Alligator mississippiensis: one gene and its partners. The main gene of each other region encodes a partner of the protein of the gene in region 4 in a complex. Links are inferred from orthologs where the notes say so. Each region holds a gene or a part of one and is shown on either strand. Other genes may lie near its edges. The genes, in order: RAMP3, RAMP1, RAMP2 and CALCR.

The links.
Region 1: the proteins of CALCR (region 4) and RAMP3 are in contact, whole or in part, in a cryo-EM structure (PDB 8F0K), measured with the Homo sapiens proteins. The link is inferred for Alligator mississippiensis from reciprocal best matches to the Homo sapiens genes CALCR and RAMP3. Residues at the interface, in NP_001158210.1 of Homo sapiens: Arg45, Lys46, Met49, Asp50, Gln52, Tyr53, Lys54, Tyr56, Asp57, Met59, Gln60, Arg74, Thr75, Trp76, Asp77, Gly78, Asn124, Arg126, Phe235, Leu238, Ile242, Thr246, Gln257, Arg258, Trp261, Tyr262, Leu264, Leu265, Phe269, Ile276; in NP_005847.1 of Homo sapiens: Cys57, Leu59, Ile63, Tyr66, Glu67, Thr70, Tyr83, Trp84, Pro85, Gln90, Ile93, Thr94, His97, Arg98, Phe101, Ser102, Cys104, Val106, His110, Leu111, Glu112, Asp113, Pro114, Val118, Leu119, Leu122, Ile123, Pro126, Val127, Leu129.
Region 2: the proteins of CALCR (region 4) and RAMP1 are in contact, whole or in part, in a cryo-EM structure (PDB 9AUC), measured with the Homo sapiens proteins. The link is inferred for Alligator mississippiensis from reciprocal best matches to the Homo sapiens genes CALCR and RAMP1. Residues at the interface, in NP_001158210.1 of Homo sapiens: Arg45, Lys46, Met49, Asp50, Gln52, Tyr53, Tyr56, Asp57, Met59, Gln60, Gln61, Thr75, Trp76, Asp77, Gly78, Asn124, Arg126, Phe235, Leu238, Ile242, Thr246, Val250, Ala251, Gln257, Arg258, Trp261, Tyr262, Leu265, Phe269, Ile276; in NP_005846.1 of Homo sapiens: Trp59, Ile63, Tyr66, Arg67, Ala70, Asp71, Phe83, Trp84, Pro85, Val89, Asp90, Phe93, Leu94, His97, Gly98, Phe101, Ser103, Arg109, Ala110, Val111, Arg112, Asp113, Pro114, Ile118, Leu119, Phe122, Ile123, Pro126, Ile127, Val129.
Region 3: the proteins of CALCR (region 4) and RAMP2 are in contact, whole or in part, in a cryo-EM structure (PDB 7TYX), measured with the Homo sapiens proteins. The link is inferred for Alligator mississippiensis from reciprocal best matches to the Homo sapiens genes CALCR and RAMP2. Residues at the interface, in NP_001158210.1 of Homo sapiens: Arg45, Lys46, Met48, Met49, Asp50, Gln52, Tyr53, Lys54, Tyr56, Asp57, Met59, Gln60, Trp76, Gly78, Arg126, Phe235, Leu238, Ile242, Thr246, Val250, Glu255, Lys256, Gln257, Arg258, Trp261, Tyr262, Leu264, Leu265, Phe269, Pro273; in NP_005845.2 of Homo sapiens: Trp86, Tyr93, Ser94, Arg97, Asp98, Glu101, Leu109, Pro112, Glu117, Ile120, Phe121, His124, Phe128, Cys131, Pro136, Phe138, Ser139, Asp140, Pro141, Leu146, Met149, Ile150, Pro153, Ile154, Leu156, Ile157, Leu160, Ile161, Leu163, Val164.

The regions. Positions count from the first base shown.
Region 1 is NC_081828.1:117,398,054-117,405,130, reverse strand, and holds the start of RAMP3 (receptor activity-modifying protein 3), read left to right. Parts: upstream 1-4,062; 5' UTR 4,063-4,333; coding exon 4,334-4,385; intron 4,386-7,077. UniProt on the Homo sapiens protein: Accessory protein that interacts with and modulates the function of G-protein coupled receptors including calcitonin gene-related peptide type 1 receptor (CALCRL), calcitonin receptor (CALCR) and G-protein coupled estrogen receptor 1 (GPER1).
Region 2 is NC_081827.1:187,002,092-187,010,009, reverse strand, and holds the start of RAMP1 (receptor activity-modifying protein 1), read right to left. Parts: upstream 3,015-7,918; 5' UTR 2,975-3,014; coding exon of another isoform or gene 2,935-2,974; intron 1-2,934. UniProt on the Homo sapiens protein: Accessory protein that interacts with and modulates the function of G-protein coupled receptors including calcitonin gene-related peptide type 1 receptor (CALCRL) and calcitonin receptor (CALCR). Required for the transport of CALCRL to the plasma membrane.
Region 3 is NC_081827.1:152,179,397-152,186,295, reverse strand, and holds the start of RAMP2 (receptor activity-modifying protein 2), read right to left. Parts: upstream 3,002-6,899; 5' UTR 2,957-3,001; coding exon 2,893-2,956; intron 34-2,892; coding exon 1-33. UniProt on the Homo sapiens protein: Accessory protein that interacts with and modulates the function of G-protein coupled receptors including calcitonin gene-related peptide type 1 receptor (CALCRL) and calcitonin receptor (CALCR). Required for the transport of CALCRL to the plasma membrane.
Region 4 is NC_081828.1:174,341,594-174,349,001, forward strand, and holds the start of CALCR (calcitonin receptor), read left to right. Parts: upstream 1-4,394; 5' UTR 4,395-4,763; intron 4,764-4,862; exon of another isoform or gene 4,863-5,240; coding exon of another isoform or gene 5,241-5,327; intron 5,328-7,408. UniProt on the Homo sapiens protein: G protein-coupled receptor activated by ligand peptides amylin (IAPP), calcitonin (CT/CALCA) and calcitonin gene-related peptide type 1 (CGRP1/CALCA).

The DNA of each region.
Region 1 (7,077 bases), about 57 Mb from region 4:
AGAAATTTGTTTTCAGTATCTATGGGCACTGACAAATGTGACTATCTGTCGTACAGTCGGCCACTGAAAGCACTCTACAGCTGTGCACTGACAGAAGTTCACGGCTGCAGAGCACTTTAAAAAATGCCAGATCACATGACAATCTGAACCCTCATTTCATCGGGGTTTACATGAGGGCACTCCAAAGTGGAGCACCTTCATTAATGCCTGTCAGCGTGGGCCAGGAGCAGGCCTAAGCTGACACAACCCAACCCTGCTCTGGGAATTTTTTTTCAGAATGGGAGGGGAGGGGTGGGGGGGGAGTGAGCCAGCTGGAGGGTGGGGTGGGTGGGTTGGAGTCCCCCCTGTCCCTTCACTCCAGGCTGGGGAAACCCCAGAATTGATCTCCCTCCCTTGCCTTATCTCCTCACCCTCCCTTATCCTAGGATAGCACTGGAGCTTGGAAAGGAGGGTGGGGTTAGGGGACAGACATTGCAGACAAGCAGCCTCTCTCCCCAGTTCAACTCCAAAGTGGAACTCAACCCCTACCCTCCCAATCCAACAGCAAATGTCTGTTGGGTTGGGAGGGTCAGTTTACAACTCATGGGGCTTTCTGTGAAGCACCATAGTTAAAACGGGAAACTGCATATCTGCCAGTGCCCTCAAAGGCTGAATGCTCGACATGATGCTGCTTTCTTTGGAGGCAGCCTTTATAGGAGTTGCAACAAATCAGGCTTTTCAGATGATAAGGGGTATGACATTTTAAGTACATAATTGCATAATTGGCATCATAGGATTTTTCATTTGAAGGGGGTAGGGTGTGTGTGTGTGTGTGTATGCGTGCTCTCTCTTGCACTCTCTCACACACACATGCACACCCCCCCTCGTTTGTATGAGAAATGTTGTCATTTCTTACTCATAACTGCCAAATATAAATTTCACAGCTTTTCTGAAGAAGCAAATTAGTTAGCGCTATCAATATTAATGGTTTGAGAGAGAGAAGTTTGTGTTACGAGGGGAAAGCCCATACATAATTACAGTGACATTATGAAAAAAGTGTTAATTTTATAGCATTTCTGTTTACAAGCTGTTCCCAAATACATAGACATCTAAGAATTATTCATTTTAGTTCAGTGTGCTGAAAATGTCAGCTTAAGTAGCTGGCTTATGAATTTTAAATAGCTTTACCATCTCCAAACTAGTGTGCTTGCCTATAAATTTCAGTTGTTCTGTACTGGAATTTCACTGGCATTCCATGAAGTAAACAGAAAATGTGGAACGTCTATTGAATTTTACGAGTTAAAAAAAGAATTATTTCACATAAATTTGCTACTACTGTTATGCAGGATATCTTCTCTCCTGAAGATGTATGAACAGAAATACTTGCTGCATTATTTACAAACAAACTGTAGTTCTAGATCAGAAATATTTGTTACATTTCAGCAACACTTCTGTACCATCTGCCATAGAAACTTGGATTTCCTTAAACTATTAAGCACCATACATCCTACCACTTGGGAATATTAATCCTGGCAAAATATATGATTTGTAAGAGAAATTTGAAATATGACAATCCTGTTCCTTATTATTATTACTGTAGGAAATATAATGGTCATTTATTACAGACTAGTTAATCAGAACTTCCTTATGATAATGGGATGGCTTTTGGATTCTCTTGCTTCTCCCAAAACACAGGTGCTTGCTAACTACAGCATTGCTGCATGATCTCCATTAGCTATTTGTTATCTAAAACCTTAAATATTTCATTGACTCCCCTTTTATCAATGGCATGTGCAAAGTAAGAAATTCATTATTCACAACTTCTTTAAAAATTAATTGCAGATATGTACTACAGTGTCTTGGACTTTTAATTTAAAGGTTAGATGAATTCTTTTCCATTTTTCTCAATTTGGTTAATAAAATAGCATGGTCAGTTTATTTTTTTGTTTATAGTCCATTTCATTTTCAGATGCACATGCAGTGCGCCAATGTTAAGTTTGAGTCACAAATGCTGCCTGGGCCTTTGAAAATTGTGCAGAAACACTGTTTTCATGGCATTGTTTGGTATGAGAGGAAATGCATTCTCATGTGTGTGTACATACATAAACTCATGGAAATCTATGCACAGATGTGCACATATTTGCATTAGGTTGTATAAAAAAAAGAATGTACTTTTGTGATTAATCTTGACCATATCAGTGACCATGTTTTCCTTTACTACTTAAATGTAATTCTCCAGATGCAGTTCTTCTGCTTATCTAGACATACTTTCTGGCTGTTTATTAAACTGACCAGCATAACTGTTTTTGGCTGTCTTGGTAAGTCTCCAGAAAGTGTTTTTTACTTCTTCCCCCTGGCCTTTCTTAGCTAGGATGCTAATTTCCCAATACTTATAGATCAAAAAAATACACAAAGTTTAAATATTAATGAAAATGAGCAAATAAATCCCTCTGGACGTGGCCATGCTAAGATGAAATGGCATCATTAAAATACATTAAGCCCTTACTTAAAGCCCTAGCTATTCTGTTTTGGAATATACCTTTCATGAGCACCACTGCTGCCAAGTTGCAGCACTCATTTGCAAATACATATTCACACTTCAGCTCTGTACACCGGGGACTCAGCTGCAAGGAGTGAAAGCAGCAAGTTCTATCTAGGATTTCTTGAGGATATATTGACAACATTTCCTAAAAGCAGGATGTTGGCTGCATGGTACCCCTTCTTTATTTGTGGCAGGGCTGTGTTGGCAGAAGTCTTATATAGAGTTTATATTATGGATTGTATAGGAGAGTTTGGATAGGGATGATCCTGCCTCAAGCAGGGGCTTGGACTAGATCAGTGGCTCATAATCTTTTTTTGAACTAGGACCCATTTGTAAACATTGGGCAGGCCTGACCCACTTAAATAGTTTAAGTGAAAAAACAGCCCCCAGGCCCTGCCTGTGCCCCTCACTCCTGACCCAACCCTGACCCTGGACCCCCAGTGTTTGGGGCAGGGGGAAGTATGTGGGGTGGGAGGGGGCCCAAGCAGCCCCTTGCAGACTGGAATTCTGCCAGCCTGCAAAGGGAACCCATGTTTCAAAAGAATCATAGATGTCATAGACATTAGAGCTGGAAGAGACCTCCTGAGATCATCAAGTCCAGCCCCCTGCCCAAGGGGCAGGAAGTCAGCTGGGGTCAGATCACCCCAGCAACATAAGCATCCAAGTGTTTCTTAAAGGTATCTAGAGTAGGTGCTTGCACCACTTCTGGGGGGAGTCTATACCAGACTCTGGAGACTCGGTAAAGAAATGTTTCCCTATGTCCACTCTAAAACAATCTTCCAGCAGATTGTGACCATTAGACTGTGTCTTCCCTTGGGGTGCCCTGGTGAACAGCCATTCTCTTAGTTTTTTTCTGATGAACCCCCCACAAAAGAGTTACTATTTGATATCCCGGAGATTTTCCCACACTTTTCTCCTTTAAAGGAGAAAACATTTTTAAAGCTTTTTGTGGCCTTTTCATATATTCCTGCGACCCACGGGTTAAGAAAGACTGGATTAGACCCCTGGAGGTCCTTTCCAGTCCTACTTCTCTATGAGTCTGCAACTCCAGGTGCTCCTCTGCATCATCCCAGTCTTTAAAATATCTTGGCAGAGGAAGCTTGTGCCAAGATTGCCCCTGCTTAGGGGCAGGCAGTCCCTTGAGAGCTCTGGATCTTGCTGCCCTTGGTCCTTTCCTTGCTGAAGGAGATGCTTGGAGGCAATGGATTTATTCGCCAGTGAGTGCCCCAATCTCACTGGAAAGGAAAGGATGGGAAGGGAGGGTAAGTGCAGACTAGGCAGAGGCTCCCTAATCACAGAGGCTCCACTAGAGCCTGTGTGGCATCAGGCACATCATGTCCCTGGGAGGCACAGAGGCACAGAGAGCAGTGCATGCACCCCCAGCTCCCTCCTCAGCTTCACTCTCCTGCTCAAGCCCTCCTCCTCCTCTAACTTCCCATCGGCTGCCTTGGAGGATCCCAGAAGAGCCACAACATCCTCCTCCCAATCTAGGCGGGCTGGAGGAGGCGGGGGGAGCATAGGAAATGGGAGTTGGGAGTTCACTGGTGCCGAGAGGCTGCTGAGCAGATCACATCTCGGGACAGAGCGGAGGAGGAGGAGGAGAGGGGCTGGGGGAGAGATCGCACGTCCCATCCACCCTTCCCACCCCTGCGCTTGCCGCTGCTCGGGCTCTGATGCGGAGGAGCCGCCTTGCCGGAGAGATCGGGGTTGATCCGAAGTGGCTGCGGACCTGCCGCCCTTCCTCCTCCTCCCCATGAGGGCTCTTTCCCCCAGAGGCTCCTGGTTGCTTCCCCTGCTGCCTCCGGGGTCGGGATGGAGACGCCTGCTTTCTGGCTAGTGCAACTTTTCCTCTGCCTGCTGTGCGGTGAGTACATCCCTGCCGGGTGGGATCAGCTCCGGCAAAAAAAAAAAAAAAAAAAGGGGGGGGAGGCAGGGAAATGCAGGGCAGCAGCCCCTGCGGGGGGAGCAGCACTTCAAGCAGGGGTGCTAATGAGTTAGCAATGATTTGCTGGGAAAGTTTGAGATTTAACTCTCAGCCTTAGTTCAAAGGGGAATGACAAACCACCCTATGAACTTCACTACTGGAGACAAAAAGTCAGCGCTAAACATAGAATTGGATTTAGGGTATATTATAACCTGCCTGCCATCGGATACCCCCCAGGTAACCTGTCTGCATTTTACCAGCTACGTTTTATCACCAGCTCAACCCCCCGCATCTACCTGGGTTCTCACCTCTTGTCTCCCATCCCCTCTGATTCTCACTGCCAGGCATTTGCATTTTCACAGACTTTGATTTTGCATACTGCCTTCTATTCAACCCAGGAGAGCACTAAACCTGTTCCAGCCTTTTGCACTGAAAAGCCCCATACTAGTCTCCCAAAACACCAGCAGTCTCCCAATGCCTGAAGAAGGGTGTTTGTGCCAGAAAGCTTGCAAAAGACCATTTTTTCCAACTATTTAGTTGGTCTAATAAAAGGTATCATATCTACCCAAAGAACCTCATCAGCCTTAGTTCTATTTCACTAGCAGCTCAAGCATTTCTGGGTTTCCCTTGGCAGGAGAAAGAGATCAACTTCTCTCTCCCTCTCATTTTTTTTCTTCTCCCCCCCCCCCCCCCCCCAGTATTTTAGGCTGGTGATTTTTTCCCCCCCTTGCTGGAGAGGCAGAGCCCTTCCGGAGTGGTGATTTTCAAGCAGGGTTTATTGCAACCTAGGAGGAAAACCCTAATAAAACTTCCACCACCTCCTTCCCAACTCCCAAGCTCCCTCGGGATCGTTCAGTGACAGTCTCCCATCAGAAAGGCCTGCTGTGTTTTGGGAGAGTAGTAGGGGTCTTTCCAGTGCAAAAGGCATTTTTTTTTGCAGCAATATTAATTGTTCCAGAGCAGGCTTCGCTGGTGATCTCGGTGGCTGGAACTCTGTTTTGAAAAGAGAGACTGCAGAAAGGCTCTGTAAGATACTGACCCTCCTTATGCCCGAAGAAGGGTGTTTGTGCCCAAAAGCTTGAAAAGAACATTTTTTTCCAACTGTCTAGGTGGTCTAATAAAAGAGATCACATCTACCCAAAGAACCGTGTCTGTAAGATACTAGATCTTGAGAGAGGACTTTTCAAAGAGCAGAAGGAATCTCTTCCTGGTGAAAGCAACCCTGGGACTGGATCTGTGATAGTGTCTTGTGAGGAGAGAAGATGTCTCCAGGCTCTGCTTCCCTCTCCCCATCCCCACGCCTTATCAATGAGTTGTACAGTGTCAGATGTGTATATTTTGCCTCCAGTGTTGGTGATGCTGATGCTGCGTCTGGCAGGGAAACGCCTTCTAATTGCACAGCAGATGCTTGATGTGAGTTCCAGAGAGCAAGAGGGAAATAAACACAGTTTGAGACCAGACCAAACAAACCATCCAGAAAAGTGTTAACCGAATTGTGGCTGTTGTGGATGCTTATGCACAAAGCAGATGGCTTCCCCTCCCACACCCCTTTGTTGCAATGGTCCAAACTCAGGTTGCACGTTTCCCTGAAATATAGTTCAAAATAATCATCTTTGATGTGGCAGCACGCGCGCGTGCGCACACACACACACACACACACACACACACACACACACACACACACACTTTGCCTAGGTCCTGCAGCAGACAGACACACATGGATACATATATACATATGTACACACACTTGGATGCCTAGATCCTGCAGCAGAAACAGGCACACACACATGGATGCCTAGGTCCTCCAGCACACACAGATGCACACTTTGATACAGTATTGCCAACCCCACCATGCCAAAAATCATGAGATTGGCATGTAAATCATGCAATGCTATTTTTGAAGTGTGTGTGTGTCTGGGGGGGGATGTTATTTGTGAAGGTGCGGGGGACTGTGGGGGTGTGTGTGGGGTTTGGAGTCTGGAGAGGGGGGTCCCCACACACCCTGGCAGGAGGCCAGGTACTGTGGGTTAGGAGTGAGAAGCAGCAGCTGGGCTGGGTGGGCTGTGGCTTGGGAGTAAGGAGCAGACACGCAGAGACATTGACATATACACAGACAATACCCAGCTGGTAAGTGGAGGGAAATGGGTAGGGGGGGCCAGATCGAGGCATGGGTGAATGGGGCCCTGGGGCCAGGCCAGGTCATCCAGTGGCATGGCAGAGGGGCGTGACCCCCCGCAGCAGTGCACACCCCTGGGGAGGCATGGGGCACGTGCCCTCTATGGGACAGAGGCAGGCTGCCTGCTGCAGGCTGGGCTCTGCTGCCTTGCACCAGGAGCTCAGCTGTGCAATACTATTGCCACCTGTTAAGCAGGCAGGGGACATGAGGTGTGCTGGCTGCATGGCTCATCCCCCTGCCCCCTCGTGGCAGGAGGCACACAGGGCAAGGCAGCAGGGTGCAAAGCCCCAGCTTGCAGTAGGCAACCCGCTTTGATGCCCTGAACCTGCAGTGGACACACGGGCACACGTGCACACACACATTTGTATGCCTAGATCCTGCAGCCAACATGCACATGGACACATGCATACATGCTTTGAAGCCTAGATCCTGCAGCAGACACATACACACATACAC
Region 2 (7,918 bases), on a different chromosome or scaffold from region 4:
TGGCAGCTATAAATAATATACAGTGCTCTAAATTGGAAAGAAAAAAAAATAGACTGCTCCTTTAATAGTACAGTATGCGGTATGCACAAAAAAATAGCACAAGAAAGAGATAGCAAAGGACAAATGTACCCACCAGAATGGAACTCACACACCCCAATTAACTGTTGTCTGTCACAGAGAAATGGTCTATGTGCCTAAAATACGTATGCTTCCTATATTGGTATAACTCCTGTACAGGAACCACCACCGTTTTAAGAAAATCTGGACTAATATACTTAGAACTGTGATCCTGCCAAGCCCTTAGGGATTCAGCAAGAATAAACAGACCTAGATTTGAAAATGTTAATTCCTTGTTATCAGCTATTAAATGTATCTGGCTAAATACTTATTGTACAATGGTGGCAGATAATATATTAAACCACTTAAAAAGAAAGGGGGTACTCAGAAGTTATCTTTAGCACAGACCACTTTTGGTGGTAAGGAGAAGGACTAGTGAAAATGAAAAATAATAAAGATACTAAGTAGTAAGTGAATGAGATGCTCTTATTTTACAAAGTTACATTAACTGACAGCACTCCTGTTACTTCCTAGTTAAAATCAAAAAGTCAGTCAGTAGACAAAACTAAAACTAGGGTAACACTCAGGAAACAAGGATGTATTAGAGTATGTATTGCAAAGCTTTTATTTTCATATGATGTATTTATTAATGCCTGATTCATTTTAGTACCGTATTTATATTCCGCTAGTGCAATATAAGCAGTCTATAGGACAATATGTGGAAATAGAACAGATACTGTGCATTAGACAGCCTCAATAGAGGTACAATTTACATTGTATTCTTTTGGCTTTCCAGAGTCATTTGGTTGCACCTTGCCTGCACTGAAAAAATCATCCTATGAAGTAATCAAAGGGCAACATTAACGCTAAAAAGGTACCAATAAGTATATGTGTGAGTCCCAATTGTTAAGGCAATTTCCAGTGCAGGGGATAGGATTTCAGAGATTTAGCACGTTGTAGGACTGGGCTTTATACTTGCATAATATCAACACTAATTTTACTTATTTATTTTGATTTTATTCATATTATTCAATTTAAGAAGATTTTCTAAAATGTAACACAAAACTAAAGCTCACATGTTATCTATCATTTTCCTAACAGCTGCTTTGATAAAGTCTGACAGGAAGATTTACAATTTAAAAAAAACTGGAAAGAGACATCAGAACCTGTGTCCTAGATGAATGAGAATTACTATGTATTGGCATTAATACTAGGCTTCCATGTATACTATTTATTGCATAGTTTCAAAATGTTACTATTTACTATTTAATCATGGACTGTGAGTCTCTCTTTAAAAGTGAACATGGAGAATGGGTTTAGTCTAACTTGTGCCATCTTCTATTTCTTTGTGAATAGTCACATGCTAAAAAGTGGTAAATAGTTAATTATGTTGTACAGGTAAGACCATTATATGCAGCACAGCTCAATACATTATTTACTAGGGTTTTGAAGAGGAAAACAGTGTGGAAGAATGAAAGGAAGGTAAAAAGGAAATAGAAGCTTCCTCAATCTTCGGATTCCACGATGAATGTTATATTTCAAATCAGTATCGAACAGTTTTAATGTGGCTTACCTTTAAAGGTTAATGAAACTCAAATGCATTCACTATTACAAAACACACCGATATATGATTCTTCAAAGCTTTTATGCTAGAGATACTTACAGTAATGACACGAGTTTCTACCTGTTGCACCTGTAACTCTAGTAACAAAAGCATGAGACAAGATGCCACATGAAAAATATTTAGCAAAACAAAACCAGAAAAAAAATCTTCAGACGCAGACTTAAAACAACCTTTTATATGCTCTGATACCTCATTTAGCATCAGCAGCATTTCTCAAGACAGGCAATTCCAATGATGTCCTCAACATACTGGTTTGTACATGGCAGAAATGGAAAACTAGGGAAAACAACTATATAATTTACTAATGGCTTAGTCTGTATCAATGTGGGTGGCGAGAGGAAAGGAGAGGAAAAGCTGTGAACATAAACCTGCTTCAGAGACCTGATATTCCTTTAAGCAGACAAGTAAATGCAAACAAGACAGATCCAGGTGGCATTTCCAACTGACACAGTCAGTGCCAGGTGAAATATTTACTTTGCCAGGTGAAATATTCACTTTGAATTCTTTGCCATTTTAGAATTAAATTCCATTTTAATCTCTACTGGCCTTTGGAAGCAGAACTGAAGATGACAGTACAGACACTCTCACACGGGTCAGACTTTAGGGAAAAGGTAAGGACGGGTGACGTTATAGTGGATCACCAAGAATGAGAACGGTAGTAAATGTTAGCCTTTAGGATTAAAAAAATAAAGTCTTTTCAGAACATGCATGGAAAATTCATACAGGTTTCTGAACAGCAGCAGTTTCTCTAGTTTGCCAAAGTATCCACAGATCCCGTTTGCTCACAGATGGGTTTTCCAGTGGCCAGGTTTCCGGGCTAGCAGCCACCAGACCAGTCAGGGGGCAGGGTGGCATCTAGCGGGGCCAGGGCACTTCAGACATGAAGCGGGCATGTGCCCGACACCTAACCACAGGTGTGTCCTGCGCCCCCGCCACACAACCATTACACTGGCCAGTGCCCAAACCGCAGCAGGGCTGGTTTTCCTCTGCCTCCACAAAGCCTGTCGGGCTGGTTCCAGTGCTGGCCCCGGTGTTCAGCTCCGGGGCGGTCACAGCAGCACCGGAGGCGGACTGCCCCCCGGCCCCTCACCGCCGATCAGCAAGGGACGAGCTTGCTGGTGACATGTCAGGGGCGAAGAAGGTCCCGGGCGGGGCAAGCGGCGGGCGGGTCATGCCGGCCTCTCCCTCGGGGGTCGGGGGTCCGCGGCACGAGCGAGGGCGAAGCCCCGCGACGAGGGGGCACCGCCACTTACCCAGCAGGAAGCAGAGGAAGCGCCTGGGGAGCAGAGCCATCGCCGCGGCCGGGGCACCATCCACGCGGGTGCGGGCTCGGGAGGGAGCGCTTTATCCGCAGCCTGGCGCCTCCGGGGGGGGGGGGGGGACGGGGACGGGGATCCCGCCCCGCGGGGGCGACGCACAGCAGTGCGGCGGGAGGGCGGCCGTCAGAGGTTCCCGCGCGCCGGGCACGGCACGGCACGGCACGGGACAGGACGGGGACGGGCGGCGCGAGCGCGGCAGCCAGCCCGCCCCGCGCAGCCGCCGGGTGTGCGCCGCCTTCCCCAGCCTCCCTCGACATCAGCAACAGCACAGGTAGGGTGAGTCTGGCGGCAGCCCGCTGATGCCGCATCCCCAAGCCCGAATCACTCAGGGGGCACGTCTACCGGGCATTTACTGCCCCGCAACTTCTCCCAGGTTAAGCGGCTCTTTAGCCAGGTATCTACACGTGCAGCTGTTAAAGGGCAGTAACGCCACGTCTAAAGTTAGTCCCAAGTCAGTCCACACACACACACACACACAGCGCACCACTGCACGGGAAGGCGTTGTCTACACGTTGGTTACTGCACAGTAATGATTGGGGCGTGAATTTGACACCTGCGTCATGCAGGTATCAAATGTCTGCCCAAGTGGGCATACATCACCATGGTTACTGCGCAGTAGATGCACACCCAGACGCACTACTTTTTGGCTAAATTTGCCTAAATTACCACGCGGTAAGTGTGCATGCATAGATGCACCCTGGGAGTCTTAACTGACTTTTGAGCTTGTTATCAGCACTTTCTTATGACTACTTGCCTCAAAATAAAGAAATCCTTCAACTCTGATGACCCAGTTCTCCCTCCCTCCCTGATGGCTTACAGTGAGCAATATAAAGTAAACAAGATGAGGACTTAGTTGCATATTTATTAGTATACTTTTTCAGTGCACTATAGTTTTTCAACAAATACGATCATTTTGAGCTTCCAATAGGATAACTTCATATTTAAGACCTGGCAGTGCTGACTTGCCTCAAAACAGACTCATATAGAAGCAAGCCCCAGGCAGGCCCTTCACCCTACAGCTTGAAGGGTGATGACCGGGAATGTGTCCTAGGTGTCCAGGGCCGAGCCAGGTACTCTGCAGGCTAAACACAGATGCATGGCTTAATTCAGGCTTGAGCAAACTACAGACACTGCCGTGGGACAGGACCAGCCCCTTGGGCCAGTTAGGCAGCACTAAGCCAGCCCCAGTTAACTTTGCCTTGGAACAATGGCAACTCATTCGAGTTCATTACACCTTCCATGGAAAAAATGTGTCTCACGTGACGTGAAGCATATCCTGGTCCCGTCAACCCCATGTTAAACCAGTTGTCTGTTGTTAGCCCAGGTTCTTAGGGTAGGACAATGGACTTTTCCTTCTGTAGGATCCCAGAAAGGCTTTGTTCCAGGCCTAACCTGGTGTGTTGCCTCCCCCACACCATGCAGTGGTTTTCAAACATCCTACAGTCACGTAACCCTTTCATGTCATTTCTGCTGCTGTGGAGCCTCTGCCCCTGTCCGAAAGACTGATGGGACACAGGCCTCCTGGCCCGGCCTCTCTTCTGCTCTGCCATTACCCCAGCTCCCTGATGACTTATTGTGGAAGCCCAGGGCTGGCCAGAGCACAGGCTGAAACCCTCTTCCTTAAGATTTCAAGATTAAGCCAGCTCAAGTTTAGGCAGAGCTGCCCTTGGAGGAGGAGAAGGGGAAGGGGAAGGGGAAGGGGAAGAGGCTCCAGACACCCTCTAGTTCCACTGGATTTTGATTAGAAACTGAAGTCAACAGATTCTTTCCAATGACTTTAGGGCATCTGGGAGTAGTAGGTGTTGAAAGCTGAACTCTTAATTAGTTAATTACACAATTAACTTCACAGAATTGAGGGCTTACTCCTCCAAAGTTCAATACAGGAAAGGATTTTCATGGTGGGAGCTTTCTCTCTAGCCTACCTCAATGCTTAATAATTAATTAGTACAAATAGACTCATTTATTAGTTGAAAACCACAGGACTATATTATAACAATAATAGACAACAACAACAACAACAAGGGCGATACAGAAATATGAAAGAGAGAGCAGACCCTTTGCCCACTTGCAACGATGTTTCAGTTGCAGGCACAATCAGCTTAGCTTAACTCTACGCACAAGTTTTAAAAAATATATATTTCATGTTCCAGGTCAAATTAGCCAAATCTGTTCCAAATCACATCGACTGAACAGAACTCAATCGTTCCAAAATCCAAATCGATTGAGCAGGCAGAACTCAATCATTCTAAGCACCACGTACGGCCCTACAACTGGTGAGAATCCTCCATCCCAGACCTATCACCCTGGGGCTTCAAACAATCCCATATCCATCGGTAGGCATTGTACGTACAGGCCCAAGTCCGGAGGTCTTGGGGTTCAGATGCCCCTAGATTTAATTTTATTAGAAAATGAACACTCAATTACTGTACCCACAGTGATCTACCCCAAGGCTCCCACTCTCCCAGAAGCTTTTCCCCCTCCTCAGGTACTCAGTCTTCTCTTTTTAAGGGAGTGTGATACTGTACCATTCAAGGGCAATGGCTACTCAGCACTAGTCTGTTGCATTGGGTCCTAAGTTTGTGTCACTGGGGAGCTTCACTCCACCCAGATAACACCCACACAGCGACCAAACTCAGAGTTTCACCCACTGACCCAAGCTTTCTTACAGACACAACCATAATACTAACCATTCAGCACATCAAACAACACTTAGTCATGCCTCACAAAGTCTCACTCACACCCAGACTCACACACACATCCACATTAGAATGAATCCTCCCCCCCAACACATACCCGGAGTCTTAGATACAAGCTCTTTTATAAGTTGCAGGGGTACAGGTCATAGCCGTGTTGGTCTAAAGACACAGGCAGACAGGGTTCTTTGGGTAAAGCTGGTATCTTTTATTTGACCAACTCAAATAGTTGGAAAAATTCTTCTTTGCAAGCTTTTGGGTACAAGTACTCTTCGTCAGGGTACACACCAACTGCAGATGCTTCCTCAGCCTGACGAAGGGTACTTGTGCCTGAAAGCTTGCAAAGAAGAATTTCAGTTGGTCAAATAAAAGCTTTACCCAAAGAACTTCTTATAAGTTCCAGTCACAGCCCCTCTGTCAGCCGCGTTCATAACCAACCATTCTCTCAGAGGCACTGTCACTCGCATGTCAGTCACTGGCTGTTCCCATCTCACCTGATCACCTCATGAAAAGGTACTGAATGCACGTCGACTTCTTGCTAGTTTTCGCACAAACACAAGTAACTAAACTGCACGTGCTTGGACCTTCAAACTAGGTCATTACCTCATTGAAGGTAAAGAGTTCACCTTTTCTAGAACCTTCTAGACCCTTAGCTCATGGACATAGGCGACTGATGCCACCTGAGTCACGGTTGATCTCGCCAACCAGGAAGCATGAGCAGTGCCCCCGGACGTGCCAGCAGCACTTCACCTGGTGCCCCCAATCCTCAGCTGGTGCTCGCAGGGGGTGCACTGGTGCTCCTGCCTCCCCCCTGCCTATCACCTAAGCGGGGAGCGCTGCCTGTCAGGGGGTGCACCAGCACTCTCAGAGGGTGCACGTGCATCCCCATGCACCCCCTACACACTGCCACTGCTCGTGGAACATGCATAACACTACTTTAGCTACATGACTGCTAGTTGAATTACCTATCTGCTACACAAAACTACCAACAGGCCAGGGGATGTACCACCTTGCAGCCTACATAGGTTTGTGTGTGGCATGGGTGACTCAGACCCATTTAACAGGGAGGAACCTAGAGAGGTGGTGGAATCGCCATCCTTAGAGTTTTTAAGGCCTGGTTCAACAAACCCCTGGCTGAAATGATCTAGTTGGGGATGGTTCTGCCTTGAGCAGGGGGTTGGACTAGATGACCTCCTGAGGTCCCTTCCAACCCTAACTTTCAAAGAGTCTATGATTCTATGACCACCCTACTCCCTACGACAGGCCAGAAAAGAAAGGCTGCTGTTAGGGGCAGACTCCCCAGAAAGATTGCAAAAAAGGAGTAGGTAGAGGAGGAGAGGGGTGTGGAAAGAATGAATGCTTAGATGGAAGATTTACATGAGTAAATGACATATTTTCTACAGCCTCCTTACAGCAACACTTGTTAACTCTCTCCAGATGAGACTTCTGGTACAACAGACTTCACTACTCAGTCTCAGCCTACTACATAAATGCAAAGGAGAATCCCCTCCCTTTTCCCTCTTTAATACACATACTCCTTTTACCGACTGTGAGATGTCATTGTGGACATTGCTTCTACCCTGTTACAATTAAGGTTCTTTTAGGGATAAGTTATCTAATTAAATTCGTGATTTTCACCAGGGTGCCACAGCACCTCAGGATGTCTTAAGATCCTTTCAAGGGTGCCACACAATATTAGCACAATTAGACACACAAATGGGATGTGCAAGAAAATTCACAAGGAATTCGTGGTGCTAAAAGCATTCTGGCCTGTTATGGTCTTTCTGAGTTCTTTGCAACAGAAGAATTGCTCTATTGTTTTTCTGCATTCAAAAAGCAAGTGAAAAATACAAACTGGCATTTTCAGAGGGATGCCTTGAGGCTAGAGGTTGAGAGTTACTGCACTAGATGTTGAAATCCATTCATTTATTATCCTGAGACTATACCACCTCTTTTGGCATTGGGTAGGTTCCCTTGTAGAGTATGCATGGCATTTCTGAAGATGGGTGGGGCTAACAGTTTTTTAAATTAATGTGATTTGTGATACTCCTGTAATGAGCTGGCTTGGTTCACAACCTGTCTGGTTACTGGAGTAAATTTTGTATTTGAATGAATGCAAAAAGGGCTTACTAGAGCTCTGTAGTCATTAAAGAGTACAATTACAGTAAATGAGACTGTGATTTGTGTGGAGGGTTAGTCCTGAAAACAAAGCTCTCTCCAGTACA
Region 3 (6,899 bases), on a different chromosome or scaffold from region 4:
TCCCACCATGGCATACCTTGCTCCCAAGAGCCACTGGGGAGGATGAAAAATCAAAGAATGAAAAACAGGAGTGAAAGGGAGCTCAGCAGGTGATGTAGATCAGTCCCTTGCTCCAGGCAGGACTTGGACTCAAAAGGAGATGTGTTGTAAGGACTTGCTTCATCCATCCCTGCAGTTCTGTCTCTCTGGGCACTGCCCCAAAGCACCCTCTGGCCTGTGATGTTTGGGAGAAGCTGGGGGTAGCTGTAGGCACGGGGCTAGTGACATAGGTGGTATATTTCTTGGGCTTGGTCAACAGTAGTGTAGAGGTCAAGATTTGCAGAACCAGCCTCTGATACTTGGTACCCAGATGGTTCTGGGCAGCCTGATGGCTACAGGGAACCAAATGCTTGTTGCTGTCAGCTCAGCTGGCACAGCGGTGCTCAGGACCCCTCCTGCCCTGGCCCCAGAGTTTCACCCAGCATCCCCACTGCTCCCTGCTACATCCTTCTTTCTGCAACTCTTGGGTGCAGTAAAGGCTATATGCAAATGAAACGGCATGGCATGGCATTGCACGCATGGTGAGTGCATTGGCCATGGAAAGGCACGTAGCACCTGCAGCAGTTGGGAGCACTGGGCAGGGTACCACCCTGCACCAATTCCACAGGGAGATGAATTGGGCATAAGACAGGTAGCTCTAAGGCTAAGCTTGGGAGCAGAAAGGGAAAGAGGAGGGGACAATCGAAGTGAAGTATGTAATTAGGGGAAGAGCTGGGTTGGGAGGTGTTGGGACCCAAAGGCTTCTGGGCCCAGCTTGATAATACTGGCAATTGGCAAGAGACTACTGTCTGTTTGCTGCATGCTTGTTCTTAGCTGCAACCCAGCAGAAATGTGACAGACAGGTCACCCTGACCGTGACCTGTCCCTGCTAAAGGAAAAGAAGACATCTGGAAGGATCCTGGTTGGATGACCAAAAGCTAATCAGGAAGTTGGCTAACTAAACTGAATAAAAATAACTTGGCAAAAGAGGAACAGTCAGAGCAAAATCCTACTGCCACCTAAGAACAAAAAGATTACCTCAGAATTAAAAAAATTCCAGTTAAAGGTAACCATATATGGCAAGCGGAAATCAGCTCGTTAATATGCATTGTAGGGAAGAGTTTATGCTAATATATTAATAGTAATCAGCAGCGATAAGGTATATAAGTACAACCCAGCTTTTCCCCTAATCACATGCTTCACTGTCTTCCTAGGGTAGTGGCTGGACCTGTTCCTCCTACAATGCCATGTCTAAACCTCCCTTGAGATTTCAGGGGAGAGAAGAAACCGGTCTTCATGACCTGGACTGCTATTGGCTGCCAGCACCCACTGTGATGGTGCAGAGCAGATGAGCCTACCTTGCCGGTCTGGCTGGAAAGTGGACCTGGGTTAGGGAAGCTGTCTTCTTGACCTTTCCTTCCTCATGGGGACCTGGTCTATGACACAGCAGAGCTGGGAGGCAGTGGGTTGGGGGCTGTTTGTGGTACACTGCCCAGTGGGGGCTGCTCTATGGCATGGCAAGACTGACAGTCCAGTCCCTGAAATTGCAAGGCTGGGAGGACTGGTTAGTGCCATTCCAGAGATGGCAGGATTGGCTCACTGCTTGGCAGTGCTGGGGGATCCAGTCTGTGGCATGCTGAGGCTTGGGGCTGGTCTGTGGTATGCCAGGGCTAAGGGACATCTGGCTACTTGCTGTTTCTCTACCTACTTTTGCATTTATGAGATCTCACAGGCAGCAGTACTTCCTCTTCCCACCACAGTTTTGCCATGGGAGCAAGTCTGAGGCTCAGTGACAAGTTGCATGCCCCTGGGGAGGGGAAGGTGGGAGGGCAGGCAGACTGGTGGAAGACAGGGGTGCCCACAGTCAAAGTATCGCCAGCACTTTTCTGTCCAGGGCCCAGGCAGGTCATCCTACCATTGATTCAGACAGAGGCTTGCAGGTTTGGGACCTTTCAGTGCGTGTTTTGCCATCCCAAATGTCCCTAATGGTCATGATGATAATAAACAGGGGAAAACGAGGGGAAGCAGGAAGAGGTGCCCAGAGCCAGGCAGCAGCATTTGCATACCTTCCATGATGCAGGCTCAGCTGCAAGGAGAAGCATGATGTTACACATGCTCACATAGAGCTCTCGCAAGCAGCTCCCCTGCACAGACGCACACCAACCCCACGGCCAGGACTCGCACCAGACACGTGTGCTAAACGTGCTTCCCACTGCTCACAAGCACCCTGCCAGCCTAGCCTCCTGCTGGATTCCCATCCCCTTCACACAGGGGGGGACCGAGGCATAGAGACACAGGTCGTCAGAGCCAGAGCCGGTGCTGAAGCCCAGGAGCCCTGTCTCAGAAAGGTAAAAAGGACTCCCCGGAGCCTTCTCCTCTCTGTGGGTTAGTGATTCATTTTTTATATTTGTGTGCTGCCGTCTCCAGAAGAGGCTCAGGAACTGTCCCACTTTTCATTGGGGCTGCTGTCCCTGCCCTTCTCCCTGCTCCCCTGTACAGAGGGGTCACTGAACCTGGTCAGCAGCACGCACTGCCCTGCCATGCAGAGCTCCCCTGGCTGGAGGCTGTCACACAGAGGGAGAGAATATTTGATCTAGAGTCAGTAAAGAGGGCACATTGCTGGAAGGGGAGAAGCCATGCTTGCTCCTGCAAAGTTGCACTTGGGGCTCCCCTACTTTGCAGTCCCACCCCAAAAAGAGGTGAATATAGCCAGGCTTCAGCAGGGGTCACAGCTCAGAGAGGCTGCAGCCAAATCTAACATGTCATATAGCCCAAATCTGTGAACCCTTCCACCCCTTAAAGGCCCCTGGCAGGGAGAAGAGCCAGCCCCAGGCAGCCCCACATCGGGCTGGGCTCAGCCAGAATTGCACTTACCCCAGAGCAGCAGTAGGAGCCCCCGGGAAAGGCAGCCAGAGTCTGTCTCTTTGCATAGTGCCATCCTACAAAGTCTGCCTGCTAATGACCAGGACAAGTATTTCAATGGAAATAACAGGAAGCAACTCCTTTCCTCTGACAGGGGTGGTATCTACTACAGGAGACGTGTGAAAACTGAGATTACTCAGTGCTGCTTTAAAACAGATCTCCCAGTGGGACTCTTGTCAGAACAGTGCAACCACTGGGCCCCCATGCTGCTAGGTGTGTGCTTGGCGCCTATGGGCACCGATCCTCACCACCCAGAGCTGCCCCAGCCTTGGGGTACCTCTGTCACTTTACCCACACATCTGGCCAGTGGCAGGGAGAACTCTGCTCCCTTTACAGCACATAAAACTTTTACAAGGCCCATTATTTGTTTGTGTATTTCACTTTAATCCTGTCTGGGCTGGGTTGTGAAATCACCAGTCTCCTGCATGGAGAGCAGGCAGCCCGGGGGAGTGGATGGGGAAAGTGTAATATCTCAGTTGGGCACTGATATTAGTGAGCTATGCAGTTTGTAGGCTCGGAGGCAGGTTTGGGGAGCTTCAAAACCAACAGCCCTATGTCTGCTGCTACTACCTCAAGACCATCTCTCAGCATTTACCTCTGAACCCAGTCTGAACACCACTGCTCAGGGGGTAATCTTTCCACCCTCTCCAGCCCCCTGGAAAGCAGTGAGGAAGACAGCACTTGTTGCCCCCTCCCCGCCCCCAAAAGTGCCAGGAAGCCTCACACCATCACAAGAAAACCCTGGGGGAATTCGTGTTTACCAAAGTGGGGGAGCCCAGCAGCTGCTCAAGGCAAGAAAAAAGAGCAAGCACCCACCCCATTGCTCTGCTGATTCCCTCCACTCCTGATTCCTGGTCCCTGCTTGCCCAGCCTTGGGCTCCCCAACCTCACAGCTCTGCTGGTGCCCCTCACTCCTGCCCCCAGCCCCTGTTAGCCCAGCCCTGGGCTACCACAAACAGAAATGAATGGCTAGTCCGAATGACACTGCACAGTGTATTTGTTCTGTGATGTGCTCGTAGGGGGAAACATGCTGAGACCAGACACACTCATCTCACTTCTGGCTTGAGGCAGAATTTGAGCCTAATGTTTCCTGTTTAGCAGGCAGTTTGTGGAGCTCACAAACCGTGTGTAAACTGCAGGGCAAAAGGACTGCAGCTAAGAGGAACCCTCCCTGCACTGGAAAGATAATATCACTCTGCGTTTTGTGCTTTCCCTGCAAATGTCCTTGCCTAATGGGCCAATTGTCTCTGGGCTGCGCAGTAGTAGCTTGTTCCAGGACACTGCAAGATCTTCCATGGGAGAGTGGCCGCATCTGGAACACATAATGACCCGCACATGAAACTCCTGGGGTGTGCTCAGGGGTTAGAGCCCCTCGATCCCATTCTTTGTTGTCTGCACACTTGGAGCCGAGCCTCGAGTTCTGCAGATGGTGTTTCCTTGCCAAGGCAACACCCACTGATGTCATCTGGAGTACTGCCGCTTGAACAGGGCCATGCTTGTCACTCATGTGTGACGCTCCCAGCCAGGACTGGCCGTGGAGGAGTCCCTAGTGCACAGATCCAGGCTGGAGCAGTTCCACAAGCCCGACTGCCTCGCTTTGCCAGGCAAACACCATGTTCTTTGCTGATCCCTGAGGAGGAACTCTAGTGGGGCAAAGTGACCAGTGAGTGGCAGGCTGATGACAACGTGATCCCAAAGTGCCAGGATCCTGAGAGGGGAGCCAGGGGTGGAGAGGAGCCCATTCGTATTCTTGCACCCTCCTGGTCATGCCTGTCAGTGCTACCTGACTGATAGGGGCCAGGCTGTGCCTCCAGGCTTGCAGGGAGTCTTCTTTCTCCATCTAGGCTGGAGCCTTTCTGGGCAGGGAGAACCCACACCAGAGTGAACAATAAACACTTCTCCTGGCGCTCAGCCTCCAGCCCCTCCCAGCAAGACCTGGAGAAGTCAGCACAGAACCACAGAGCAAGCCCCAAGGCCCTGGTGCAGAGTGGGAAGGGTCTCACAGTGAGTCAATGGCAGAGCTTTGAATGGATCCCAGGAGTCCTGACCTCCAGCCTCCTGCACTGTAACCTACTGGACCTCATCTCCCCCCTACACTTTCAGGGCTAGGACCCCAGAGTCCTGACTAACCCTTTGCTAGAGAGCCTTTGGGCCCCATTCCCCTCCCACCTACATCTAGTAGTAGAGCCCAGGAGACCTGACCTCCAGTCCAGTCCCACCCCTATTATTTTAAACTTGATCCTGGTGTCTTCCCGATCCCTCCTGTATTCAGCTGGCTCCAGATACACATTAGATCAGGGGACTTTACACAGTGATGGGTGGGCAAGCATTTGCGACCTGTCTGCTGCTGTGGACCACTGCTCCCCCCTAGCATGCCCCTCCACAGTACCCCAGCTGCCTGCTGCTGTCTCTGTCATGAACCCCACCTCCACCACCTGCACTGTATGTTGCTGGTGCCCACTATCCACCAGCAGCAATGGGGAGGAGCAAATTTGGCAGCAACAATAAGCAGTGCCTGCTGTAGGGAGCCAAAGAGACAGCAGGAGGGAGGACTACGCGGGGTGCTACAGGTAGCATCTTGCTGAGGCTTCTGGTGTGCAAACAACTCTCTTGATTATGTACTTAAAGAACTATTGACATTAGAGAGGTAACAGTCTCCCTACTGCCCTTGCAAGGTCTGGGGTCTGCCCTTATTGTGGTCCTGCCACACCAGGAAGTTCCTGCTGGTCCCACCCAGATTATCTCCTAAAATGCCATGCTTCCTGGATCCTTTCTGTTTCCAAGAGGACTTACTCTGTGTTATGTTGAGGAGGCACAGTGCAGAGTGGAGAAGGAGGACGCACTGGGCCAAGCTGAGCTGTGTACTGCCAATCCCCTGTGCCACCATGGGCCCAACTGGACCATCACCGGCTACATCTAGTCCCTTTGTGGGCTGGGATGGCCAGTGAGACATAGGTTGCTGATACTTGTACTAGACCCTATTCCTTGGGTGGGCAAAATATGGCCCATGGACCGGATCCAGCCCATGGAGCAATTTTGTCTGGCCCACAATGGGTTCCTCAGCCCCGCCTGGCCCAGGCACGGGGGGAATCCAGGTTGTGACATGTGCCTGGGTGCAATGCAGGGCTGGGATGGTGCAGCTGCTGGATTCAGCACCGCTGGCCAGGCACCCTGGCCCTTCCACCCTGCACCCACCGACAGGGGGAGGGTGCTTAGCCAGGCAGCTGGGTTGGGGTTGCAGGCTGGTGGGGAGTGGTGTTTGGAAGTGGGATGGGCTGAGGAGACCCTGGGATCTTGGGGCAGTGACAGCATGGGGACCAGGCTGGGGCAGAGCTGCAATCTGTTCTCTGCCCGTGGAACCCACTCTCATCACAGGGGTGTGTGGGCACCAGATCATGGCTCTGCCCTGCCCCATGATCCTGGCCTTGCTTGCCCCTCCCACTCCTGAACACTGCTCCCAGCTTGCCCACAGGTTTTGGTGCAGTTGCTGTATGAGGATGGGGGTGCTAACCTGGCCCACAACACCTCAACAAACTCCCTTTGTGGTCCATGGGCCCAAGTAACTGCCCACCCCTGCCCTATTCCCTGCTAGACCCAACACTCTACCCTATAGCAGGCCTGTGTTCACAGACCTCTGCTCGAAGCACTGGACACTCTTTCCCTTTCTGATTTGTCCTTAAGGCTGTTATGTACAATGTCCTTTGTCTCCTAAGCCTGGAGAAGGGTACAAGGAGCACACAGGGGTGAGGCTGGGTCCCGTTATGGTTCTGGCTCAGCTCTCCTGCTTTTGCGGAGAGTGAGAGCAACTGCGAGGGGGGTCAGACAAATCGACAGAGTGGCCAGAGCGTGGATAGTCCTGACGGGAGGCTCAAGGGGCCCAGAGCTTTCAGCTGCTGTGCAGTTGGGGAAATATTCCATATGGATCTGCAGGAAGAAGGAATCAAGAGTAGGGCTGGGCC
Region 4 (7,408 bases):
AGGGCACTGGGTGTCAGTGGCCGCTGCTGTATACAAGCTCCCCTCCCCCCCATTCCTGGGAGACGGTGGTAGGGTTGGCAGAGGGGGCATGGGGCCGGAGGCAGAGTGGTGGCACCGTAGGGCGCTGGATGTTGGCACTCTGTCCCTGCGCGCCCCCCTCCCCAATCATTCTTGACAGACAGTTGTCTAGTATCTTTATTAATGATCTGGAAGATGGCATAGATTGCACCTTCAGCACATTTGTAGATGACACTAAGCTGGGGAGTATAGTAGATACACTGGAGGGTAGGGCTAGGATTCAGAGTGACCTAGACAAGTTGGAGGTTTGGGCCAAAAGAAATCTCATAAAGTTCAACAAGCACTAGTACAAAGTCCTGCACTTAGGAGGGAAGAATCCCATGCACCACTACAGCCTGAGGACTGACTGGCTAAGCAGAAGCTCTGCAGAAAAGGATCTGGGGGTTACAGTGGACAGTAAGCTGGATGAGTCAACAGCATGCCCTTGTTGCCAAGAAGGCTAACAGCATACTAGGTTGCATTATTAGGAGTGTTGACAACAGATCACGGAAAGTAATTATTCCCCTCTATTCCGCACTGGTGAGGCCACATCTGGAGTAGTGTGTCCAGTTTTGTGCCCCCTGCTATAGAAAGGATGTGGACAAATTGAACAGAGCCCAGCGAGAGCAACAAAACGGAGGGGATTTGACAGCAGCCTTTAACTATGTGATGGGTGTTTCCAAAGAGAATGGAGAGCTAGAGTATTCTTAGTGGTGACAGATGATAGAACAACAAATAATGGTCTCAAGTTGCAGCATGGGAGGTTTAGGTTGGAGACTGGGAAAAACTAGGAAAAACTCTCTCACTCTGAGGGTGGTGAAGCATTGGAACAAGTTACCTGGAGAGGTGGTGAAATCTCCATCCTTAGAGGTTTTAAAGGCCTGGCTAGATGAAGTTTTGGCTGGGATGATCTAGTTGAGGATGGTCCTGCTTTGAGCAGGGAGGTGGACTAGATGACCTGAGATCCCTTCCAACTCCATTGTTCTATGATTTTAACTTAAAAGAAATCATTCAGGTAATGGTGTCTGACCTAAACGACACCCAAACTGGCAGTCTCAATAAGATTGGACTCTTCTACCTCCTGCTCTACCTACCTCTTCTACCTACAGCTCTAGAGTCAGAGCAGATGTATTTGCAGACAATACAGTGAAACCTGTATTTCAGCTGCTACAACTTGTACTGCAATTATTCTCTGAATAAACAGAGCCTTTCATCCCCAGACTCTTTAGTTCAATTAGTCATTTTAAGGAGTATAAAATTAACTCTAAAAAGACATTCTTCTCCTTTTGGAGAGTAATTTAAAATCTTCATACAAGAGATGTTCTAACACCCATTTCCCATTGTCGTCAATGAGAGCTGATTAGGCCCCATGTGTTACAACTGAAGACAGACAAAATATATAATTTTTAAATAAATCTTGTAATTATATAGGGAAGATGGTACTGAGTAAGCCATAGAAAGATAACTATACCATTTTTTTTTAAGTTGGCTTATTTGATAGCTGGGGGAAGGGAGGAAGGAAAAATCACAGCATTTTGAGTGCTGGATTTTCAGATTTAACATTCTGTATTTATGAAACAGTAATACCTCAAAAGGATAACTATTTCAGCTATCTACCCTTCACAATAAGCCAAAGATAACTGTAATGATCCAGTGTTATAATTAAAACCAGAATAAAATTACCATGCGATAGTTAACAGATTTTCAGTAGATATTTAATATGGGCCTGATCATCATCTATTACTCATGCTGAGTAGTAATTATTCATGCTCATAGTCCAAAGAAACTCAGTGGGACTTCTTGTGAGAGTGCTAATCAATGTGAATAAGAGTTGCAGATCTGTGCAGTCTTGTGAACTAATGGTTATCCAAGATAGGAATGTACTCAAAGAAAAAAACTTGGAAGAGCTATTTCCAGATTATGGGATGCCAGATGTATTTTGGCAGATGTACAGTGCTTAATGCAAAAAAATAGTGCAACATAAAATCAGATTTGAAATGCATATAAAATAGAGCTTGAAGAATACAACACTTTCTAGCCAAAGCACTGAAAATGAGGTGGCAGAGAACAACACATAAAATGATAAGATTAGCCCACCAATAAAGCAAGAGGTAAGAAAATGAACCTCTTGTTCTGGGGCTGCTGCTGCAAGTGTGGTGCCTGTACCCCATCTATATCTTTTCTAGCAAGCTGTGACCAGTATGAGGTCTCCTTGAGACCCTGGAAAAGAGAAGTAATTCTCTTCTCTTGGTCTTTACAGACTTCCTTGCTACTCTGAACATCCTGTAGCATTGCTAGGTTTTTTGAATACTTCCAATACCTGTTGCTGCTGTTCCTCACAGCTTTCCTAGGACAGTAATGTGTCCCAACAAGACTGACAAGATTCTCACCAACTCACAGTTTTCATAACAGCAACATTATAACTAATGAAAACTGTCCCCAATTTAACTATACCCCTGCTTGAGAAAACTATGAGCAGTGATGGCACAACTGTCCTATTTTCATGGACTCATAACAACTCTATACAGGTTCACAAGAACAAAAACATTAAAGCAAAAGATTAAATTTAGAAGAAAGTGATGATTTAATACACTGCTTCCCACTCATTAGGGAACATGCTCTACACTGGAAATACGAGTTATGGACATACTTTACCTCTGACAGAAGACAACTCGCTTCTAGAGCAAGACTAGTAGAATGAGCATGGTGCCACCTTCTTGAGCAGGTTGTTAAAAATGTTCTTTCTTCCCATGGTCACCTGCTGGTAGGAGGTCCCACCACCTGTTATCTGCAGTGGAAAATTTGGAAGCTGGAGAAATGGATTTAAAAAAGATGATTTGAGGAGTTCTAATGAAAACATTGATATAATATATATATGTGGTATTATTTTCTAAAGAATACACCTACAGAAAAGTACCACTGGAAATGGAAAGAGAGATCATTTTTATGCATCTTTCACTTCCAGATACCTTCTTAACCTAGTTGCCTGAGCCTTCATTATTTTCCTTTCTTTTCTGTGAAATATTACTTTATGCAGATAGATATATATTTTCCCACTATTCATTTAATATTTTTATTGGGAAAACATCACTGAATTTGCAAACATCAGCCAATTCAACTCCATTGATGATATCTCATCTAATCACCTGTAGAGCTGAGTTAAAGTAATCCAGGGTCTCTGCAGATTAGCTGTGACTTCCTTTTTCCTGGCCCACTGTTTTGTCTCCATCCAGGAACAGGGACGCCTCAGTTAAGTAGAGAATGTATCCAGGCAATGTTTTTTTTTTTCTGGTTCTGGTGAATAACTTATTCTCACACACAAAAAAATGTGGTTGCAGTTGACCTGAATCGATTTGTGAATTTGGATCAAATTTGCTTTGCAGTTGACCTGAATCTATTTAGCAAATTTGATCCAAATTCACAAATACGTTCAGCTAAAGCACATGGAGAAAGAGAGGCTGATTTCCATGAAAGGTTCTTTTTTATCCAGTAGCCAAGTGATTAGGACTTCAGTTAGGATGAGCTGACCCAAGATCAATTCCCTCTGCCCGAGGAAAATTGAGGAGGAGGGGAACCTCACAGGTGTAGGTGCTACCCACCACCATTAAAATCATTGTCTTTTCTGTAGTGACTAGTGAAGTATTAGGTGTATACTGAAACGTTGAAACAAACAAACAAAAAAAGACAGAAGGAGCCTTATCTTGGAAGACATAGGCTGGTGGGAGATAACACAGAATATAAGCAGGTGCAATTCAGGCTGTTGCCTCCCATCAAACCAGGTCTGGACAATGGTTTACAGAGGTAGTTTGAACGGCAGCTACCTCGAATTAACCCGGATAGACAGTCTTGTGGGGGCACCCCCCCGGTACTTCAAGTGGGCTGATGAGTGGGAGTGTCTGTGGGATCCCAGGGTCAATTTTTTTTTTCTGGGGTAAAACCAGTGGTCTGGCTTTTAGCCTCCGCTTCTTCCTCCCAGTCAAGGAATGAGTGGATGCGGATGCCCCGTGTCAGAGGACTGGCACCACGGGGTGACTCCGCGGCAGGTCTCCCACGGTCCCTGCTGCTGCAGCTCGTCCACCTCACGTGCTGCTCGTGGCGGCGGAGAGCAGGCACGAGGAGGGCTCCCGCCGCTTCCCCCGTGCCCACGTGAGTATCTTCTGCCCAGAAAAGCAGCATCTCCCGGTGCTGGTCCGCGTCCCCGGAGCCCCCCCCAGCTAGAGGCGGGAAGCGCCCTCGCTCGCCCGCTCCTCGCCCCGCCGCCGCTCTCGTAAGATGGCTGAAGCGGCTCGGACGGAGGCCGGGGTCTGAGCCCCTCCAGTCCAGTCCGGTCCGGTCCGGCCCGGCCCGGCCCGGCCCGGCCCGCGCCCACCCCCGAGGCGGGGCCCCCTCCCCTTTAAAGCCGCCGCGGGGCTCGGCCGGCCCCGCTGCCGCCTGTCTCCCCGGCCGGGACCGGGCGGCGCGGGGAGGAGCGATTCCGGCTCCCCCGCCCCCGCCCTGCGCCGGAGACGCGGCTGCACCGGGCTCGGCGGCCGCAGAGCGAGGCGGATGCGCCCCCGGGGCCGGGGCGTGCAGCGCCGGAGCCGCCGCGGGGCCATGCCGGGCTGAGCAGCCGCCGCCGCGAGACGGGGAGTCGAGGCGCTCGCCCCACGTCGCTGCTTCGCCCGGGGCCGGGAGCCGGGGCCAGGGGCCGGGACGCGGCGCTTCAGGTGGGTCTGAAGTGCCCCGGCGGGCGGGCGGGCGCTGCCGGCGCCTCCCTCGGGGGCGGGTCCCGCAGCCCGGCAGGCGCCTGCGGGGTCTCCGGCGGGCGGCAGCTGGCCCTCCCGGGCGCTGGAGTGGCCCCGAGTCCTTCATTTCCCGGTTCAAACGCTCGCCCGGTGCCGCGCGGGTCGCCTGCCAGCCAGTGCTCGGACGGGGAGGGTGCGGGGCTTGTTACCGCTTACAAACGGGCGTGTTAAAGATGGCATGTAACAGCGTGGCGAGTGTATGTACAGCGACATGAAGAACGGGCAGGGGCTTTCCTGCGCCAGTCCTCGGGAAGCGGGGCTGGAGGGGACCTCCCGCGGTCACTTTGTCCAGCCGCTGCCAGAGGCAGGACCATCCCTGCCCAAACCATCTTGTACCAGCTACAGCCCCATAGCGCACCTCTGCGTAAGAGCTGCCCTCGCTTTGTGTCCTCACCTTCAATGCAAGCCCCTTCTTTTCAGTATCTTGTCTCTGAACATCTGCGTTTCTTCTGTTCCCATGGTGCTGCGTTGGGTTCTTGGCCAGAGGTAATTTTTGACCCTTTATTTATTGAAACCATGACGGCTTTTTAAGTTTTTGTATCTTTTCATGTGTCAGATGATTATACTTTTGGATTGAAAGGATGAAAACCCAAATAGTAGGATGCTGGGAGGGGATGAGCGTAAAGCTCAAGTGTGTGTAGCTCAATTGCTACGTATTACTTTGTATATCTTTATTTTTGCAGACCTCTAGTTTTAAGGTAGCTCTCTAGACATGAAGAATACTCCAGTGGGCGGTGTTCATAGAAGTGTTTTTGCTTGTGATTGATGGGCAGAATGGGAGGAGTTGGCAATGAGGTGAACATGTTTGGCACATTGACTTGTCGATCTCATTTATTGATTTATTTTAGGGACTTGATGAAATAAAAGTTTTTTTCCTAATCTTCTAAGACAAGTTAAGTGGACATAGAATCCTTTTTATTTGGTCAAACGGGAGGATTGTCGTTTGTTCTAATGCTGTGACTGTCTCGGTGCTGAATAACATATTTCTCTCTGACCAGCAAACTGTAGATAATGTCACACTGAAAAGAGAATTTAATTTACTGTTCAAGGTTCTAGACATATTTGCAGAGAAGCTAAATTAAATGCATGAGAGCTAATGTTTCATTTTAGACATCTGACAACCTTTAGCAGTAGGTGACCCTTACTATGTTTATCTTTATGATGCTTGCTGTTTTGTCATGTTGGTTGACAGCAATTTATTCTGGATAAACCAAAACTCAACACTTCAAGTAACAGATACACAGAAGAAAAGTGTGCATTGAGTTATATCGAATTAAATCCTGGCCCTCTTGAAATCTGTGGCAAAACACCCATAATGCCAAAAATGGCAATATTTTGCTATGGGGGGTGGGGATGGGTGTTGGGGTTTTTGCTGGATCATTATTACTTATGGCTGAGTGCCAGCCAGCTTAGAGTTGAAACTGAGGTAACAAAATCTGAATTGGGTTAATACTAGTTTGCACTAGCACAATTCCATTGTTGTTCAATTTTGGGTGATAGCCAGACATCATGTTTTAATATTAAAAGTCCTCTATATATAGTAAGTGGCACTTATTAATGTGTGTGTATGTATATAATATATACATAGAGAGAGCAGGCTGAATAGACTTGCAAAAGGCTGACTGAGTACAATTCTGATGTTTTTATCAGAACGCATCATAAATTAGATGGCAGTCTGGTTTTCTGCTGTATTTTAGTACAACTAATTAAACAGTGAACAGTTTCTTAAAACATTATTTATCTGAAATGGAAAATATGGTTAGTGAACTTTTTTGACTGGATGAAAAACAACATTTTTATAAGAGTTTGTTCTTGAGGTCTGTGACACAATGGGAGTTTAAGGAAGTCAGTATCTCTGAGAACTGACTTGCAGGGTTGAGCCGTTATTTTAGGGTTTAATCCTCTAATTTTGTTGTCCACTGAAATAAATTACCTGCTATCTGAAACTATTTTGATGGATCTGGCTTTATTTTGGATATTTTTCTAATGATTGAAGATGGTCAGTTTTGTAAAGACTGAAAATTGAGAAATAATCTACCTAGTGCTTTGCAGACTTATAGCCCCATCTTCCTACCAGAATAGAATGAAACTTCTCTTAAGAACTAGACTTTCCACTATGATGATTTTTATATCAGGAATTCTGTGTTTGTACTGTTTTATGTATAGGACACACATCTGACCCATTACCTTCATATAATAAAAGTAACAGGATAATAAAGAGAATAGACCCATTCTGCTCTGCCAAGGCACGTTAGTTCTAGGGATTCCAAAAAGAAATCCACCAACTTCCTATTACTTGTGACAACTTGGTCCAGTCTCACTGCCACTGAGGCCAGTGTTGAAATTCCCATGGATAGCGTTATATAATGCAGGACTGTCCTGCAAGGAATGAAGAACTTTTACTTGCTGTTGTTATTTTCTGTTATTTGTATTGCAGTAGTACCAAGGGCCACACCTCTGTTAGGATTTCTGTATAAATGTGAAGTAATTAATATTGTGGCTAGAACAACTGGCAAATTAAGGGAAATTAAAACGGGGCAACAGGAAAAGTAAGCTCCCCAAGGGCA